Linked DNA regions of Lytechinus pictus. The protein of the gene in region 1 purifies or fractionates together with the protein of each later gene. This does not show direct contact. Links are inferred from orthologs where the notes say so. Each region holds a gene or a part of one and is shown on either strand. Other genes may lie near its edges.

Region 1 (10,639 bases):
GAATTAGAGCAGCTCTTCGATTACTCTCGTCAAGGATTAAAGGTGAGATCGAGGGTGGAATGGTCTGAAGTAGGTGAAAGGAATTCAGCTTTTTTTTTAACAATTATTAAAATCAAAAGGAAAAGCATGATTAAGGAGATATACAGTGAAAACGGGGAAATTTTGTGTGATAGCAAAGATATTTTAACCACTATTAGGAAGTTTTATACGAATTCATATGAATGCAAAAATAGTGATATTGCAGAAGATATTGACGATATGTTTTTTAATGACTTGCCCAAGTTGAGTGAAGAAAATAAGGATTTTTGTGAAGGGCCAATATCATTTGAAGAATGCTATCAAGCGGTAAAGGAAATGAAATGGAATAAGTCACCAGGTAATGATGGTTTTACAGTTGAATTCTATTTTACGTTTTGGCCAATTTTAGGTAAATTTATTGTCGAAGCATTTTATGAAAGCTTTGATACAGAGATGTTATCAAACTCGCAGAGACAGGGAGTAATTACCCTTATTGAAAAGGATGGAAAAGATCATTTGTATATGAAAAAATTACAGACCGATAACACTTCTTAATGTAGACTACAAAATATTGTCAAAAGTTTTAGCTAAAAGGGTAAAAGAGGTACTGGGGGACATTATTCATTATGACCAAGTAGGGTATGTTAAAGATAGAAACATTGGAGAGGCAGTGAGGTTAATAGACGATGTATTATTTCAATCCTTATATCAGCCAGTAGGATTTGTAATTGCTGTAGATTTCGAAAAAGCATTTGATTGTGTATCACATAGACTTCTATTTAAAGTTGAATTAAGAAGACGGTTCCAAATATTGAGATATTTACATTAATAGCAACCTTACAACCCCCAAACACTAATAGGTGATTCGACCCCCCATTTTCTTTTTTCAAAATAGTGAATTTGAACGATTTATGCCTACCCATTTTCCCTGAGTTCGCTCCTGCAATGCCTACCGAGACGGGTGTTCTTTGAGTGTGACGTCACCGGGGGGTATTCGGTCCCGGTGTAGAAAACAAGGCAGTGCCGTTTTGTGTACTATGCACGTACTCCTTCATATGGAATAACTGCAGTTGAAGTTGTATCTGCGAGCCATAGAACTTGCAAAGAGGAAATGATTAAAATATTTGTGGCCGTACTATTATTCCAAATATGTGAATTCCCTCAGAATGATACCATAGACCCTAAAGGAATAATTTCAAGGTGAATAATATGACATTTGCATTTGATCGAGATCTTCTCACCAGTCGATAACGTAGCAGACGTGTTATTATGACATATTTATCCGCGTGTGACGCGGCTCTTGCAAAAAAACACAGTTGGTTGCGGAATTGCTTTGTGCCGACCGGCCGCCCGCTCCGGCGCAGCTAGCTGTCGAGCTACCGTACCGTTCTTGTTGTCTTCAACCATAGAGATGTATACTAATTACTATATATCTTTCTGTCTTCAACTCACTTCCGAATTGCGTTTGTATGTGTGACGGTGACCCCTAGCGTAATTAAATATAGAAAACAACTCAGAAGGCCGAGAAAGAATACTATACGTTTGGTTCAAGATTGTTCTGTGGAATGAACTATGAGTGGAAATGATCCAGAGGATATAAAAGTGGAGTCAAAGACAAAAGAAAAGAAGAAAAAACGCCAGGGGATCGCTGCACGGCCATGAACTAAGTCGACTTACCAGACCATAACAGTACACTCAATGCCTGGGTGTTGTGTGTACTAGTATTGCGTTCAGCGCGCGCTGAGCTAGCCGCCGGAATTACTTTCCAGCTACTCACTTGATTGAACATCGTGATAAAATAAATGAGAAATAGTGAAAATATCATTCAATAACTCACTGTTTGCTATCTTACATCATGATTGAAGAGTTCATGGTGGTTATTCATACTGTTTTTTATACAGGGAAAGTAAAGATTTGTACATATCAGTCCCATTTGTTTGATTTGAGTTGCTTTGAAAAAAAATTGTAAAATATCTTTCTCTCTCTGCATAGCATTTCTGTATGACATTCAGGCAACTCTTATACTAAATTCCCCCCGGTGACGTCACACTCCGAGTGACTTTTCTGTACACTCGTCTCTCGGGCTCTGACAGGTGGCTAATTTCATAGACTTTCAAAGCAAAATATCGAGAAGGCAGAGGATTATTGTGACATGCTATGTGTTTGAACAACTTATATATACTATATATTGTATGTAGAACCTATATTTATGGAAACTCACCCCCTTCTTAATTCAACTTTAAAGCATTGGAATCTTTTGGATTTGGTAATGTATTATGCTCTTGGGTTAGAATTCTTTATAATGATGTTAGTAGCTGTGTGATGAATGGGGGACACTCAACTGGATATTTTTAGGTTAAAAGAGGTGTAAGACAAGGAGATCCCCTTTCTCCTTATTTATTTATTTATTATAGTTATTGAATTACTTACTAATTTTATTCGAAATGATCCGGGTATTGAAGGGATTGTGTTTGGTGAAAGAAAAATAAAACAAGTATTGTACGCAGATGATTGTACATTGTTTCTAAAAGACACGTACTCAGTTAATAGGGTGAAGAAAGTCTTCGGACATTTTGAGAAATTGAGTGGTTTGAAAATAAACATGGATAAGACAAATTTTATGTGGTAGGGGGAAGAATGTGATAGGCCGGTTATACCTGTGTTTGGACATAGAATGCAATAATACAAATTTTAGGGGTATATTTTTCACGAGACTCCACAATAAAAGATGACTTAAATTATAAGGAAATTTTGAGTAAAATCAAAAGATTAATTGGATGGTAGAGGCAACGAGATCTGACAATGTTTGGTAAAATTAGATTGTTAAAAATACATGTATTTTCAAAATTAAATTATGTTTCTTCTCTTATTTCAGTTCCTCAAAATATCTTTAAAGAAATTGAAAATATTTCTTTTAATTTCATTTGGGGTGGAAATGACAGAATAAAACGGAAAATTCTATATCAAGATTATTGTGCAGGGGGACTCAGAGTACTATTTTTGAAGTTTTCATTAAAACTCAGAGAATTATGTGGATTAAAAGGCTGCTGTATGGTGAGAAATATTTAGGTTGGAAAGTAACCTTTGACTACTTTTTTAGATCATTGGGAGGCCGGAGTATATTTCTTTGTAATTATGATGCAAATAAAATGGACTTACAAGGTATACCAATATTTTATAAAGATATGTTGAAAGCATGGCAAGATTTGGATCAATGTAGAAACTTTGAGGAAAACAAGATCAATCCTGTGATTTTTAACAACAGATTTATATGTCTTCATAATAAACCATTTTTTGATGTTGAACTCTATCAGAAAGGTATATTTCAAGCATCAGATATTATTGTAGGAAGTCAACTAAGACCAGTCTCATACTTCCATAACCGGGGTTTCACTGCTAATAATCTGCTGATGGTTCAAATATTTTTTTCTGTGATTAAAAAAGAATATGGATACAAAGTGATTTTATAGTTATAGATAGTGAAAACTTTCAAATAGAACTGAAGATCTTTGGTTACCTACATAAATTTATGGATTTAAAAGCCAGATATGTATATAATTACTTTATTGAGCAATTTCAAAAAGAGTATACATTAAAGGTTTTTGATGGACATTGTGAATATGATCTTGGAATAGGGGAGTTGAAAGAAACTTTTACAAGATTGAAAAATGCTTTGATATGTAGTAAACAAAGGGAGTTACAGTACAAACTATTACATGGGGCAGTGTATACAAAAGAGAAGCTCTTCCAATTTGGTTTTAAGTCAGACAATCTTTGTTCTTTTTGTAAACAACAGGTCGAAACATACCAACATTTATTTTTAGATTGTTTAAAGGTTAAACAGTTAAAGAAGGAGGTCATCAAAAAGCTTCATTTAAAGGAAGTTAGGATTGATGATTGGAAAACAATTTTCATCGGTCTATCTGGTAAATGTGTGGGAAATACATGCAATAAACTGTATAATCTTTCTGCTAAAACATATAATTTTTAATTCTAGAGAAAAGGGCGCGAGCTACCGTCGCTACAAAAAGCAACAGATATGATTAAAGTTGACAGAAACCAGGGGCCGCGGAACCGGGGGGGGGGGGGCTGGGGGGGCTTCAGCCCCCCACTTTTTTCCAAAACCGTGTACAAAAACGCAAAAATTACCATACGATTGTGATTTTTTGCATGGTCAGCCCCCCCCCCCCCCACTTTGAAAACCGTTCCGCGGCCCCTGGAAACGAAGAGTATAATATAGCCAAGAAAACAGGAAAGTTGGGAGTACACTTAAGAAAATGGGAACAAATTGGTGCATTTCTTTGACTCTTCATTTATCGTACTCTATTTTATTTTATCTTTTTTTTTTTTTTTTTTTAATGATACAAGTTACAGATCGACAGACCGGAACGGATGTGCGCCTGTTGTATGATATTTTTGCGTGAGGGTTTGTTTATGTGTGTGTGTGTGTGGATGTGTTTTTTGGGGTGTATGTGTGTGTGTGTGTGGACGGTGTTTTTTGGGGGATGGTATGTTTGTGTGCTAGGGAGTGTGAGGTGCGTGTGGTGAGTGAAAGATACATAACCTTCCTCTTAAAGATCAGTTTCATGAGAAAAAGTAGTTTATTTGATTTGACATAATTTGACATGATATAAATATTGAGGTAACTTTTTCTTCTATATTATGTACTTTTATGGGGTTTTTCCCCCTTATATCATGCACTTTTAAACAAAGTCATAACATTTGACATAAAAACATTTTCGTGTTAATGTCTTGAAGAAATTGTAGTTGTATTATTTTGAGATAATTTTGATATGAATTTTATATGATCTTACCTGTTTTGTTTTCTATATGCGATACTCTGTGAATATCTTGTTTTGTGATTTTTGAAATTGTAAAATCATATTAAGAGGAAGAAATAAAATATCATTGAAAACAAAAAAATCATCAACCGTGGTCGAGTGGTCTAAGGCGCCTGGCTATACATGAAAAAGTCTGGGGTTCGATCCCCGGCCGCGGCAGATATGCCCGTGAGCAAGGCATTTAATCTACGATGCTCTTTTATCCTGCTTTCAAATAAATGGAAATGCTATATGCATAATTGGTAACTAGGTGTGCACTTGTTTAAAAAAAAAAAAAAAAAATCATCATCAATAAACTATCATCTTTATAAGTCCATCATTCAAGCATAGAGCTATTCATAGCTCCATGATTAAAGTAAATGAGATACAGAGACAAGGACTCTCATCCCGGACTCTCATGTGCTCATATCTGAATTAACCTACTGATCGGCGCAAATGAAGGGGTATTAAAAAACATTTGGACCGTGGTTTACTCTTTGCATGAACTCATAAGTTCCAAAGTAAAGATATCAAAGATATCAAGGATGAGACTGTAACCCACCTTATAGGAGAATGTACCCTCTATGCAGATGAAAGGAAAAGGTTCCTCGCCAACCTTCCTCCGTATCTCCAACACGATCTTGCCATGACTCCTGCGTCACAAGTCGCTCAGCTGAATTACTAATGTTGTACTTCTTGGATTGGACACTAAGCCACTAAGGCAACTAGTATACCTGTTGCTTCAGCTCCTCAACTTCATTACTACTCCCTTCATTTCTTGCATGAGCTTCATGTCAAACGTTCTCTGTTGGTGAACAACAACTACACAGCCTTGTGATACACTTTATTCCAACTTCGTTCTGAGCCATTCTCTTTTGTCTCTATACATATTTATCAAACCACTTTTTTCTGCGTATCCACTGGATCTCGCAGTTCTCCAGGACTGGAGGAAATCAACAGAAGAAGAAGAAGCTGAATTTCTGCCATTACTGAAGTTAGATAATGTTATTCAAGCATTCATTTGAATTTTTCGAAACTCTGAAAGGAAAACATTTCAAGCAGCCTCCAGCCTGCAGGGGTCAGGAATTAACCCCTGTCCGTATATTAAAGTTTGGAAGTTTGCACGGGTGATAAATTTATTTTATCAGACCTAGTCCCGTTTTACGGTACATTCGTACTCCACCGTAGGTGTTTTTTTTTCTACTGATGACAGATGAAATTAAATTTAGAAACATTCATAGGTCTATATTTTCATGAATTTGTTTATTTATAACTTCAAAGTGAGTGATACTGTATGTCATTGAAAACGAAAGCCAATATGAATAATTGCAGATACCATACGACGAAAGAAAGGAAATATTTATTTGGCTGGCCATCTTCAACGTGTTTACAAATTGGGGGTTAAGCTTCAGGGCCGATTGTAATTCCACAAGACGTTAAAAAACAATTTTGTGTTAAAAAGAGGACATTGTTTGATTTGATATGATATTCTCTAGGTGACTAAGTATATCTGCAGCAATTTGAGGACTTCTTCAATTGTTCTACGTGCGATGGCAAGTGTAAATTCTGCAGAATATGTAAGTAGTCGACCGACCGGTGAGTTAACTAATTTTTTCAGCACAGGCCCTGCCATTCATGACATGGGCACTCTCAATCTCATGCACTGCACTGGCGCACAGAGTAGGGTATTCGTAATTTGCATATGGTTGGAACTACCCCTTATCGACCACCTAATCGGAGGCCACCTAATCTTCTAAGCATCGTATCTGCGAAAATATTCATCAATTTTACCCAGTTTTCATCTCATTTGAGCAGAAAATTGAGCAGATCAGATTCCCATGTTTCGCTCGGCGACTCCGATTCAATCCGCGTATATGATGATGATGGGGTACCTCGAGCGAAGTTCGTGCAGGCTCCACTCCACTTCACTACCGCTACACTACGCTCCACCTACCCGAACTTCGAGACCATGAACTCGATCGGATATTCCGAGTGACAAAAGGTGGGACTTTATGGGGAGAAAATACAAAATTCATGCAACATCACGATCTTTAAAAACAAGTAGGCCTACAACTAATATTCTTACTTTACACAAAGTTTCACTTCTTTTCCATGCTTCTATCAGTCTCAAAATTGATGATTTAGAGCCAACATGAAGTTCCTCACACGTAATAATTCGCTGCCGATTTCAGAACATCGCATGCACGCGAGGGTCCGAGCTCGGACCAGACCCGGTACCTCCCGCATGCGATGTTTTGAAGTCGGCAGCGCATTAATATTTATACGTGTGAGGAACTTCATGTTGGCTCTAAATCATCAATTTTGAGACTGATAGAAGCATGGAAAAGAAGTGAAACTTATTAGTTGCACTTGTTTTTAAAGATCGTGATGTTGCATGAATTTTGTATTTTCTCCCCATAAAATCCCACCTTTTGTCACTCGGAATATCCGATCGAGTTCATGGTCTCGAAGTTCGGGTAGGTGCAGCGTAGTGTAGCGGTAGTGAAGTGGAGTGGAGACTGCACCAACTTCACTCGAGGTAATGATGGGGGGACCTAAAGCTACGCACTTTGTTTTCAAACAACTAAAAGTAAAACTATCCCAATTTTAATTTTTCAACAAATTATCTTTCACTAATTTGTGGCAAATATTATAAAGACCATTAACCAAGAAGAAAATCTCGCAAAACTTACACGAAAATCCCGCCGTGTTTTCCGAACACCTCTTAATTTCGCCGCCCGATGTAGAAGGGGTCCTAAAGCAACGCACTTGATTTATCATGCAAAAAAATTGTATTTCCTGTGCCTCAATTTCTAAAATATATTCACATTATCATAGGATAAAATGAAATTAAAGTGAATATTATAACTCCAAAATTCCAAACAGTTGTTGGTTTTCTCTGCATTTAGAGTATTAGAGATTTACTGCAGCCTCTGTAGAAAAAATTGAATAGGAATCGTTCGTCACTCTGCAGTCACAGTTCCACACACAGAGTGCGCAGTTGCCTGTTTGCCATAAAAACTGCATGCGCGATGGGAGTAGCTTTAGGACCCGCGCAGCTTTAGGACCCCCTACCATATATCGACGAACAACGAATGCGACAATTTTCCATTTGCTCATTTGCACCCGTCTTTTAAAATCGACCACCCACGGTACACTAACTTTGTTCATGGCCGATTCTTGTCGCGGTGGCGAAATATTTTTACTCTTTCAAATCAGTTCTAAAACATCAACATGCTAAATGATCGCCTGACTACTTCCACTGCGAGCTCCGGCGCATGATTCGATGATTGACGACGGATATTTGTTCTAAAGCCGTTTCCTATCGGATTTCTTGGTTTTTCAGCGGGGTTAAGGTTTGGTCAATACAATTTTGATTAATTCTACTAAATTTTTACTTTTTGATGCTTCTTTTTTTCTTGTCTCCCTATATTAAGAAAAATAACGTAAGAAGATGAGCAGATACTCACCGATGATCTTGTCACAATTTTCCTTCTTTGTTCGTAGCCTAGTTACAAGAGTTACAAGATAAGAGAGGGCTACGATATCATTAGCAGTGCAAATTTAAAGAAAAAATAAAAAAATCAATCGGCTGATGAATATCGTTAATTGTAAAATACTTGCATTAGCCAATAAACATTTATGAGCTAATGCAAGTACCGGTAGGGTATGGACCACTAGGCCAACACACGGCCTTCTTTCAGCAAACACTGAATACTAGCTGTTGCAGAGAACAAGGTTAAAGCTGCCTGAGATTCCACATTCTTTCTTTAATATTATTGAAATGTGCTATCGTAATAATAATATAAAATACTACATGTATATAAAAAGAGAAACTGTGGAAGTATGATCATTTCATTTTATTCAATCATTTTATCAATTTCATATTCATTCCTATTTAAACTTTATATAGATCCCATCTTATTTCCACCATTTTGATAACTCATGAACTTCATAACAAAACGTTTGAAATCTTGAAGTAATCAAATCTGCAGTGTAAGTTATAATTGTTTTTGTTTGATTTTGTGTCATTTCTTTTTATGTTCATATATATATATTTTTTCACAATTATTTAGACCCACATTGCAATTAAGTGGGGATTCGTTATCAAAGGTCAAGTCCACCCCAGCAAAATGTTGATGTGAATAAATAGAGAAAAATATAACTAGCATAACACTGAAAATTTCATCAAAATCGGATGTAAAATAAGAAAGTTTGGCATTTTAAAATTCCGCTTATTTTTCACAAAACAGTGATATGCACAACTCAGTGACAGGCAAATGAGTCAGTTGATGATGTCCATCACTCACTATTTCTTTTGTTTTTTATTGTTTGAATTTTACAATATTTCATTTTTAACAGATTTGACCATAGGGACCGACTTGACTGAACCATAGTATCAAACAACGCTAATTCCACATGTATAGGGAGGAATTAATCACTGGTTCACTTGACAATGAGGAGAAAATTGAAATATTTCATATATCATTTAATAAAATACAAAAGAAATAGTGGCAAGGGGATGATGTCACCAGTCTCCTCATTTGCATATCAACCAGGATATGCATTATAACTGTTTTGTGAAATTAAGCAAAACTTAAAAATGTCATAACTTTTTTTATTTTACATCCGATTTTGATGAAATTTTCAGTGAACTTTTATGCTTGTTGGAATTTTCTCTTTTTATTCAAATAATTTTTGTTGTTGCCCAGGTGGACTTGTCCTTTGAAGAAATTATGAAAATACAGTTTATTGAATGTCATTTCTAAAATGAGGATTTTTTTTATTTTTTTTGCTAAATAATTTTCTTATCATTTCCATCATATATGACACATGTACATGTACTTAATCCATAAAAAACACACAAACACAAGCTGAATGTACTGGTATATCACTGTACATAATCAATTAAAAGACATATTTCAAATTTTCTAGTGCTTTTCACATTGCATTTTCTCTTGTACATGTATAATAAAACTGCAATATTTTGTGTAAAGGACCAAGGTAATGTTTTCAATTCTGCACTCAATAAAATGTGATTGATGAAGATATGTTATTATGGACAAAATATGACCAGGGTGCTACATAAAGCACTTGCCCGATTGCCGGGGGCAAGTAAAAGTTAGAGTTGGGCAAGTGTTTTGAAGTAAAGACAAAAACTACTTGCCCGAATTGGGCAAGCAAAATTCTCACAGTAGAGTGACCAAATTAAAGGTCGATATGATATTATATTGACCCTAATTTTGGTCATGGCAATAACAAGGTAGATTTTTTTTCAATGATTTTTCAGGCTAGTGAAATAGATTTTTGGGCAAGTATATTTGAACTGTTTAAAAATTTACTTGCCCGACTGGGCAAGTGCTTCTAAAAAGTTATGTAGCATCCTGAGACAAAGACCAACTTAAGGTAATTGTTTTAATTTCACAAAAGAAAGTGAGAAACATCGATGGATATTCAATTTTCAATAGAAAATACATACATGTGTTTACAAGAGCATTGTATATACCAAATGTTGCACAAATACATGTAACTTGTTGGCCTATGTGCAGTACAGTATATCCCATTAAAGGTCAAGTCCCCCCCATAAAAATGTTGATTTGAATAAATAGAGAAAAATCAAACTAGCAAAACACTGAAAATAAGAAAGTTATGACACTCTAAAGTTTTGCTTATTTTTCACAAAACAGTGATACATGTATGCACAACTCAAATGAGATAGTCGATGATGTCCCTCACTCACTTTTTATTTTGTTTTTTATTGTTTGAATTATACAATATTCAAATTTTTATGGATTTGACAA
Region 2 (11,226 bases), on another chromosome or scaffold:
GTCAAAGATTTCATAACTACATTTTAAAAATATTTTGTGTGGAATTCTTATTGTGCATAATCACTAACCAATGAAAAAAATTATTTTTACCTAAATTTGTAAAGTCTTTTCCTAAAGTATTAATACACAATTCTTGGAAAAATTAATGTGCCTGGAATTTTCATACCGAACCAAGCCACTGTATTCGGTTCAGTTCGGTTTTGCTACAGCACTAATCACGTGCATACAGAGTGCCAATCAATGAACAATCAACTTTTTCAAATATTAATGATCTTACACCTGAAGACCGGGATTCTTTATTGTTATTCAGTATTAAATGATAATACTAATGACGGATAAACCAATTATATATTGCCTTCGATCCATCCATGGTTCCCTTAGTGATGCGAATCAAACCATTTTCCTTCGGGGCTGTGCCCATCAGGAAAACAGTCGCATTCCGGCAAACCATACTTCTAACCACCAACTCTTGCGGCCGTACATATTTGATCAGTATAATTTTTTATGGCTGTTATCGATAACGGCTTTATCGATAGTCTTGTCGATAATCATTTGTTTTTTGCCACTTAGCGATATCGATAACGTTTCTCTCGTTGTCGATAATACCCACTATTATGTAGGGACACAATGATTTTCCTTGATTTCAAGGAATTCACGTAAATGGCCTTTTGAAAGTGGCTTTTCAAATGGAAAATCATGGAAAACATATTTTTCCTCAAACTGCACAGAATAGCAACAGAAATTGCTCCAAAATCTCAACAAAATACGAATACTTACTAGCCACAAAACACGATCTCACCCCCACTTCGCTATAATCATGACATTCTAAACATCATGACTGCACTCCACTCCATTTCGATCGAATTGAAAACATCACAAGTGCAAAGCTCAATTTTAGAGAAGTACCAACTAAAGTAATCGTAGAAGGTAGCAACCGGCCCTGTGTTGCTGCCCTCTACATTCAAAGATGTACAGCTTGATATCAAAATGGTGGATAGGCGAAAGACGTTGACTGCTCAGAATGATGTCCAGAAAGCCCCAAAATTAATGATAAAACTTCAACCCTAAAATAATGCTAATAACGTGAAAGATGAGGATGTATTTATTAATGTTGTAACCCGCACCCGTTGCGGTACGGGTTAACCTGCCGGTATGCCCCCGATCGCGGGTTGCGGGCCGGGCCGAGTTCATTCTCAAACCCGCAGACCGTCATGCGAAAAAAAAGGGAGAAGTAACGACGCATAATAAAAACATTAACAATGAAAATTGAGTTAGGATCATGTGCTTCTTACGTGGCGGATTCTTTTAGAGACGTAGATATTTCCTTTTAAAAAAATGCTGGCGTATTTTTGTCTTGTGAACAGTGAACAGGACTGAGACAGTTCGACATAAATACATCAGTTGCTCTTTCGAAGAAGGAGCGCGCGCCAGTGCAGCGCAGCACAGTAGTCGATCTAGTCAAAAGCAATCGCATAGGCCAATGAAACTCGATGTCGAGTTTCCCGTCCCATTTTTTCCAGCTCATAATGAGGATTTCATTATTCATTATTTTCCAGAAGATGAAAGTTTGACCTTTTGTAACCTTTGAACGCACTTTTATTCTGTGGAACTGTCTTGAAGCCAGGGAGCAAATCAATCATTTTTTTTTCGGGGGTTCCATTTTCATTTTTTATAATATTTCAGGGTCTCCATTTCTACCGTTTTGGAGGCTACTTTTTTCATTTCGGGGGCTCTTTTCAAATACGTTTTTGTATTTTGAGGAATCCCTGTTCACTTATTAAATTAATTATTACTTATTGTTTAATATTGCATGATTTTAAAGTTATTTTTTTCATGCTTAGAATCTTGGATGTGGGTGTGTTTGTGTGGGTGTGACTATGAGTTGAACTTGGATATAAATGAATTCAATATCTAATTTCTACTCCATCTAATTCCAGTACTTGGCCATGTAATAAAGGCCCACATACCCTAACTTTTCCTGATGTTCTTTGAAAACGCAGATCTCCACGAAAATTGCATTTCTCTATGGGGGAGTCTAAATTTGGTGAGAATGAACTCATTAATAACTTAAATATACATGACAATGAAGAAATCATCTAACTTTATTGGCAGTTTTGAATAATATTCCCGAAATATAAACTCTGTCTGAAACATAAAATCACCATTATTGAGGCCTTTACAGAGCGAATTGTCCCCCAGAGCTCTGGCAGAGAGACAGAGCTCAGACTGGCTAGCTAGTACAAGCGCCAATGCGTACGTGCGTGAGCCTCCCGTCGGCCTTGTAAAACAGATTGAGTTTTGTTTGATGATTTTTTTTGTCTGATATGCCGTATGACAACTCACCAATGCGAGGTTACTAGACTGTGGGATTTATTGAGGTAGCTCGACCAAACCTCGAGCGATGTTCGTGCAGGCTCCACTCCACTTCACTACCGCTACATCGGGTAGGTAGAGCATAGTGTAGCAGAAGTGAAGTTGATTGGAGCCTGCACGAACATCGCTCGAGGTGTGGTTGAGCATGCAGTGTCATTCCATTCACAAGAAAAAAACAAGAAAAGAATTACAGGTATTTACATGATATACAAGTAATTGTGACTGAAAAGCTTATATTAATGTTTTATATCAGTTCTGAATCTAGATCTATGTCAAAATAGTAAAATAATGAATTATTTTCAGAATTTGATTTTTAAACGCGGTCCAAATTTCATAACTCGGGCGGGCGACGGGAAACTGAACATCGAATTTGCTGGGCAGCCTGGGCTACATGTAGCTAGCGCGCGCTGAGCTGCGGCTCCAATCCGAGGAGTTAATTGCGCAATGCTTTCGATTACGAGATCAGAGCCGACCCATTTCGGGTACAAAGTAACCCCAAAAACATTTTCTCTCCGGAATAAAAGGCGAATTTGCAAATTGTAGTAGTTGGCATATATTTTCGTGATTTGAGCCTGTATAGTGTGGGGATTGCAGAAATAATTTTCATTTTTCAAAGATAAATTTACTTGCGGGTTAAAACCCGACGGGTCAGCGGGTCCCGCTTGCAAATTATTGGATTATACGGGACGGTACGGTTCGGGTTTTCACTTGCGGGTTACAACATTAGTATTTATGTTAAGAGATGTTATGTAATCATTTACTTATGATGAACGTAGATTTTAAAACATTCTTGGTACAGTGGCAGATACAAATTTTGACCAACGTGAGTATGAGACATCGCTGTAATGGATAAAAAAAGCATATTTTTTATGTTCTTCTGTCGATAGTTATCGATATATGTAAGATATCTTAGCGTGATATTGACAGAATTTTCTTAACTTTAACAGCCCTTTAATTTTCACATGATACTTTTATAATATACAAACCTTGGTCAACGAAGAGTACATATAGTTATGAAATAATTTTCTTGCAGTCATTTTGTTCTGTTTGTTTTTTCGCATTTATGCTGTTAAGTGTTGACGCCCTCTACATTCACATTCATTCGATTGCTTCAATTGTTCATTTGCTTTATTTCATACCGTAACAGCCTATAAACCTCACCCATGGATTAACCGCACCCCCAACTTTGGACAAAAAAAAAAAATAATCACATTCTCTTTCTAAATCCTTCTCACATTTACATGCATATTTGAGGTACCAAGAAACAAAAACTAAGTTATAAAGATTTCAAAGTATCAAAAGAGATAACCGATAAATGGAAATCTGCTGTTCTTGATCAATTCATCTACAAATGATAGGAAGAAAGGTTCAACATTATTGGCCACTTACACACTCACCTCACAGTGTACACAAACAGTATGCACTGACGTTCTTGTACATTGCAAAGTACGATACGGTACTGGTACCGGTACATCACATCACGATATCATCATATTATGCTACAGCTACCGTGTCTTTCCCGGCGTAGGAGAGGAGGAAACATTCACATTTCCCGCATCACAACCTCACTATCACTTTCAGAATTTGTCTAGCATTCAATGTCTTAACATGAATTTTGGATATTAGTCCAGGATAGAAGAGGCATAACCTTGTGTTTTCATATATACAATATTTTTGTATGGTTCTTGTCAATTCGAGGGTGCTGAATACGAATCTGAAGGATGCCACTCGTGTAACCTTGAGCATTTTCCGCAAATTGGCAAAATCCAATACGGCCGCCAAGACATGCATATTACCCATTAAAATCATCTAATTGCAAGCAAATTGGCTATAAAATGAATGTAATTGTGTTGCAGGAGTGAAATACTCTCTGAAAAAAACATTTTCTGACAAATATTTATTTCTTGATATTCAAAATGGCCGCCACAGACCTCTGTATACACTATTATGTACAATATAAATAGGGAAAATTAATTTTGTACACAAAAATGATCACTAAACTGCAAGTAATTGTGATCTATGGACGAAGTAATATATGAAAATCATCAATGCTGACATGATATATCATTTATTATGTAATGTATGGGAAAATTGTATTTAATATTCAAAATAGCATGCTACTGGCCCAAAAAGTTTCTATGGCAAAGGGGCCAACAAAAATCGCAAGATTAAGCATTAAAATGCATATTATTAAGAGAAACGAAATGGCATACTGACTAAAAACACAAATGATAACGAAATATATTATTTAATATGCCATGTATGTGATAAATGCTGTATTTTGATATTCAAAATGGCCGCCAAAGGCCCTAACAGTATTATGTACAATGAGATTGAGGATGAAAGAAATCACAAGAGTGAGCACTGAAGTGCATTTATTTGTGATGAATAAATGGGATAAAACATAAAAACATAATTTTTAACGAAATATATCATTCAGGTTTAAAGTTTGTGTTTAATACTGTATTTTGACTTTCAAAATGGCTGCCATAGACATTGATTGTTTTATGTACAATGTGAACTAGGAAATAAATTTTCACACGAGTGAGCACCATAAATGCACGTAATTGTGATCTATGAGTAAAATTTTGTCTGAAAGCATAATCTCAAACAAGATATATTAGTTCTTCTGCCAGGTTGGTTACAAATACTGTATTTTGAAAGTCAAAATGGCCGCTACAGGCCTCAACAGTATTATGTACAATGTGAATGGGGACAAATGATTTTGATACATTTTTGCTTTGCTTGACTAAATGGTGTTGTATGAGTAAAGTATTGTCTGAAAACATTATTACTAACGAAATATATCATCTAAAATTTAGGTGATAAATATTATATTTCAAAATTCAAAATGGCCGCCATATGCCCTTTTGTGAAAATTATCTGTTCTCATTCAAATTGTATATACAGTAATACAATAAGGACCCATGGCAGCCATTTTCCATTTCAGAATACAGCATTTATCACCTTAAATGCACCAGACATGATATACCTCGTTAGGAACCATGGTTTTAGACAATATTTCACTCTTACGCAATACTTATAGTCAAGCAAAGTCAAATTCTGTCAAAAGCGTATGTCCCAAATTACAATGTACATAATACTTTTAGAACCTTTGGCAGCCATTTTTATATCAAAGTACAGAATTTATTACCTCCATGACCAATATGTGATGTATCTACTGTATTTAGAAATCATGTTTTGAAGACAATATTTTTACTCATACATCGCAGATACATGTACATGCATTTTATTGTTCTCACACTTGTAAAAAGTAGATTCCCTATACGCATGTAACATAATTTAATTAGGGATTGCATCAGCTATTTTGAATGTCAAAATACAGTATTTATCACTTACATGGCAGAAGAAATGCTATATTCTATAAAAATCATGTTTTCAAATAATGTTTTATCATACAACAGGATTTTATGGATTTCATAGTTAGGTAAATCAAAATTCTTACAAACCTACATGTCCCCATTTACATAGGTAATAGTGTTAGGGCCTATAGGGGCCATTTTGAATTTCACAATACAGCATTTATCTCATGCATGACATAAGAAATGATACATGTATGTTTCGCTAGAAAACATGTTTTCACACATTATTTTACTCCGTGATCACAATTACATGCATTTTGTAGTTCTTACTCTTGTGAAAATTAATTTCTCCAATCGCATCGTACACAATGTATAATGGGCCTATGGCGGCCATTTTGAATGTCAAAATGCAGCATTGATCACATAAATTGCATTTATCTTTCGTTAAAAATTATGTCTTTAGCCAGTATTCCACTCGCTTATCTTAAATGGGAATCCAACCCAAATGAAAACTTGTATTTGTAAGGAAAAGAAAAATCGGACAAGTTGATAGGTGAAAGTTTGAACAATATTGGACAAACAACAAGAAAGTTATGAATTTTTAAAAGTTGTAAATATTGGTAATCACTATACCCATGGAGACTTCAAATTGGCCGCATATGGGATGTCATAGTTATGTAAGGCAAGGACTACTCTTTCATGTACTCCAATACATATTATGGCTAAAATGTCATTTTTCCTATAAGTTTTATTTCAAATTATATTTTTCGTTCATGAGGACATAAAAAAAATATACTACCTGGGTTATATTTAGATTACTGCCCCAGTGGAATGGGTACTTAAAAGTAAACCACAAATCCCTGATAATAAAGTACATGGCCTATGGGAAAGTTGTCCTTGCCCCTTGTCATAATTTACTTCCCCAGTTGCCAATTTGAAATCTACATAGTATTAGTGATCTCAATTTTAAAACAGCTATAACTTTCTTAATGCTTGTCCGATTTCTTTCAAACTTTCACCATTCTGTTTAATTTATTTTTCTCCTTCCCAACACAACATTTTATGGCCAAGGCTGGATTCCCCTTTAATACTAGTAATGTGCATTTTAGTATTTACTCTTGTAAATTTATTTTGTCCCCATTATTGTACATAATACTGTCAGGGCATTTGGTGGCTTTTTGAATATTAACATGCTTCATTTATTACATACATGACATGACAAAATAATGATACATTTCGTTAGTAATCATGTTTTCATCCATTATTTCACAAAAAATCACAATTACTTGCATTTAGTGCTCACTTTTGTGAAATTTATCAAAATCTTAACCAAGGTTAAGTTTTTGAAATGTTATATGGACCTAGTTCATAAAACTTAGACATAAGGGTAAAAGTGTATCACTGAAGATCATGCATGAGTTTCAGGTTACATGATTAAGGTCAAAGGTCACTTAGGGTCAACGAACTTTGGCCATATTGGGGTTATTTGAGGAATTGTCATAACTTTAAAATTTTATGGATCTTGTTCATGAAACTTGGACATAAGAGCAACCATGTATCCCTGAATATCATGTGCCAGTTTCAGGTCACATGACCAAGGGCAATGGTCATTTAAGGTCAATGAACTTTGGCCATGATGGGGGTATTTGTTGAATTACCATCATAACTTTGATCGTTTATGGATCTGATTCATAAAACTTGGACATACATGTAAGAGTGATCAAATATCACTGAACATCTCATGCGAGTTTTGGGTCATATGACCGGTCACATAACCAAAGTCAAAGGTCATTTAAGGTCAATTAACTTTGGCCATTTTGGAGGTAAATATTAGATTGCTGCCATACCTTTCAAAGTTTATAGATATAGTTTATGAAATGTGGATATAGGGGTAATCAAGTAGCACTGACAAGTCTTACGTCGCATGATCAAGGTCAAATGTCATTTATTTTCAATGAACATAGTATTGTATCATTATATGAATTGTATTTTTTGTGAATAATTATGTTAGATAGTATTTTTTTTAAATTAGCGGTGCTTAGATGAATGGTGTGATGCAGGTGAGACTGCCAGAGGCGCTCCACTTAATTTGTAATAATCTTTTTTTCTGGTATGCACTGTATAACTTTTGTATTTATCTGTTAAAGCAGTATAAATCTTTTTTTTCTTTTGCAGAAATGGTTAGCTATATGAAAACGGTGGCCAATTCAGGTGATGAAGATTTATCAGTAGAAGAAAGGAACCTTCTGTCAGTAGCTTACAAGAATGTAATAGGAGCAAGACGTGCCTCATGGCGCATTGTCAGCAGCATTGAGCAGAAAGAAAAAGATAAAACAAAAGAAGGTGACCAAGACAAAGTAGAGGAGGTCAAAAAGGTCAGATTAGAGGTTAGTATTCTTCAAAAGTTTGAAATTTATTATAACAAGTTTAGTTTGCCGTCAGTGGCGGCACCAGAGCAGCATTTACTATATGTGTACATTTTTTTCAGATTTTGAAATTTCTGGGGGGGTGCAAATGCCCCCTGTTGCCGCAATTGTACGCAAGCGAATCAGGTCCCGAAGATGCGTCACTCATACCATAGCACACATACCCTAGGGGAAAAAATACACGGGGGCGGCGGGCGAATTCGCCCCGGAAATGCCTAAAGTCGCCCCCAAAATCACCCCAAATTATGCTTGGGGGCGGCATAAAATCTGGAAGTCGCCCCCGAAATAATTGCCAAACGAACTGGTTAGGCTGCGCTGCTAGCTCAGCGGCCCAAAGCCGGCCGGAACGCACAAGATCCGTTCTTTGATAGTGTAAAATTGCCTTTTTCATTGCATTTTGAAGATACCATCATAAATTTGCCAGAAAATAGATCTTGAACTCTGAACAAAATCAGTTTTTTCATTTTAGTGATTTTTCGATTTTGTTCTTAAATCTGAACTAAGCCTTCGGGTGCTCTGGAAATATCAAGTCAGAAATTAGGATTTTAAGCGGGGATTTTCGGTGAGTAACAGTTGGTGCCTGAGTATACATGCATACCTGCCAACCATTCCGATTTTGGCGGAACTGATTTTTTAACCTCAATTTCGAATTTTAAAACCAAAATTCTGATTTTTGGGTTAATCAATATAGTGTTGAAATTATTAAAATGACTGTATAATGCGACTAACGCATGTTGGCTGCAAGATGCGACTAACGCATCAGTGAAAAAAATACATGGGGGCGGCGGGCGAATTCGCCCCGGAAATGCCTAAAGTCGCCCTCGAAATCACCCAAATCATGCTTTGGGGGGTGACATAAAATCTGAATGTCGCCCCCGAAATTATTGCCAAGTGATAACAACTCAACGACCCACTAGCGCCATATGCTCGAGCTCCGCTTACCATTTAAAAATCATCCAAAATCCACACTCAAAATCATGAATAAGCCTTGAAAATAGCGAGGAGCGCATTTCAAATTCCGAAGTTGCGTCTTTTTTCTGTACCACGTATTTCCACACACATGGTACCAGGTATGGAAAAAAAAATCAACGCGACGGTCGGGAAACAGTTGCATGTATAGGGGTCCATTATGACTACAACCATGTGCAATTTCTGATGCACATGTTTCCCCTACAGATATCACAATTCTGTGATAAAATAATTTGAATTACACAGGAAAGAAATCCCAGAGTCTAGTAACCTATCATTGGTGAGTTGCCATTCGGCTTTGCTTTTCAAAACGGCCTATTAACATAAAGTTTGATGATTTCTTCTTTGTCATGTATATTTAAGTTCTTAATGAATACATTCTCACCAAATTTAGACTCCCCCATAGAGAAATGCAATTTTCATGGAGATCTGCGTTTTCAAAGAACTTCACGAAAAGTTAGGGTATGTGGGCCTTTATTACATGTACATGGCCGAGTACAGGGTATTGTACTGGAATAGACGGAGTAGAAATTAGATATTGAATTCATTTATATCCAAGTCCAACTCACAGTCACACACACACATCCAAGATTCTAAGCATGAAAAAAATAACTTAAAAAATCATACAATATTAAACAAAAAGTAATAATTCATTAATAAGTGAACAGGTATTTCTCCAAATACAAAAAAGGAGCATTCAAAAAGAGCCCCCGAAATGCAAAAAGTAGCCCCTGAAAGGTAGAAATGGAGCCCCCGAAATTTGACAAAAAAATTAAAATGGAGCCCCCGGAAATTTTTTAAATTTTTTTCCCTGTAATGCATAAATGGTTGGAGCGCACGGCTACACAAATGCGCAGTTCGTTATTACAAGCGACTTTAAGAACGACTGGTGACCCTTATGGTCAGTGATATCAACACCGCGTGTTCATTGGTGTTAAGTTACATGTAGCTCTTAAAAAAGGGTAACCAGTCCGTAAAGGTGCTCGTAACTACACCTGGTGTGTGCGCATGTGGCTAGTAAATAGAACCGTATGGAGCACTGACATACAGTATTGTTCTTCGTGGTGTACCATGCTTTTGTTGATAACTTTTTGTTGGATTACATGTGAAATATGTGCCAGGTTGTGTTGAATACAGTTGTGATTTTTTGTCTCACCTGCATAGCAGAGTGAGACTATAGGCGCCGCTTTTCCGACGGCGACGGCGGCGGCGACGGCGGCGGCGACGGCGGCGGCGGCGGCGACGGCGGCGTCAACACCAAATCTTAACCTGAGGTTAAGTTTTTGAAATGACAGCATAACTTAGAAAGTATATGGACCTAGTTCATGAAACTTGGCCATAAGGTTAATCAAGTATTACTGAACATCCTGCCTGAGTTTCATGTCACATGACCAAGGTCAAAGGTCATTTAGGGTCAATGAACTTAGACCATGTTGGGGGAATCAACATCAAAATCTTAACCTAAGGTTAAGTTTTTGAAATGTCATCATAACTTAGAAAATATATGGACCTAGTTCATGAAACTTATACATAAGGTTAATCAAGTATCAATGAACATCCTGCTTGAGTTTCACATCACATGACCAAGGTCAAAGGTCATTTAGGGTCAATGAACTTTGGCCGAATTGGGGGTATCTGTTGAATTACCATCATAACTTTGAAAGTTTATGGATCTGATTCATGAAACTTGGACATAATAGTAATCAAGTATTACTGAACATCCTGTGCAAGTTTCAGGTCACATGATCAAGGTCAAAGGTCATTTAGGGTCAATGAACTTTGGCCAAATTGGGGTATTTGTTGAATTACAGCCATAAATTTGAAAGTGTGTTGGTCTAGTTCATAAAACTTGGACATAATAGTAATCAAGTATCACTGAACATCCTGTGCAAGTTTCAGGTCACATGATCAAGGTCAAAGGTCATGTTAAGGTCAAAGAACTTTGGCCACGTTGGGGGTATTTGTTGAATTGCCATCATATCTCTATAAGTGTATTGGTCTAGTTCATAAAACGTGGAAATAAGAGTAACCAAGTATCACTGAACATCTTGTGCGAGTTATAGTAGTTTTCAAAATCAGCACTGCTGCTATATTGAATCGCGTGATGCAGGTGAGACGGCCAGAGGCATTCCACT

The links.
Region 2: the proteins of 3-phosphoinositide-dependent protein kinase 1-like (region 1) and uncharacterized protein LOC129254990 purify together in Homo sapiens (affinity purification with mass spectrometry; 3 studies listed by BioGRID and IntAct, with this or other methods). This does not show direct contact. The link is inferred for Lytechinus pictus from reciprocal best matches to the Homo sapiens genes PDPK1 and YWHAE.

What each region holds. Positions count from the first base shown.
Region 1 is NC_087254.1:723,234-733,872, forward strand, and holds the start of 3-phosphoinositide-dependent protein kinase 1-like, read left to right. Parts: upstream 1-6,221; 5' UTR 6,222-6,388; coding exon 6,389-6,415; intron 6,416-10,639. UniProt on the Homo sapiens protein: Serine/threonine kinase which acts as a master kinase, phosphorylating and activating a subgroup of the AGC family of protein kinases.
Region 2 is NC_087246.1:3,530,010-3,541,235, forward strand, and holds the start of uncharacterized protein LOC129254990, read left to right. Parts: upstream 1-6,173; 5' UTR 6,174-7,738; coding exon 7,739-8,083; intron 8,084-11,226. UniProt on the Homo sapiens protein: Adapter protein implicated in the regulation of a large spectrum of both general and specialized signaling pathways. Binds to a large number of partners, usually by recognition of a phosphoserine or phosphothreonine motif.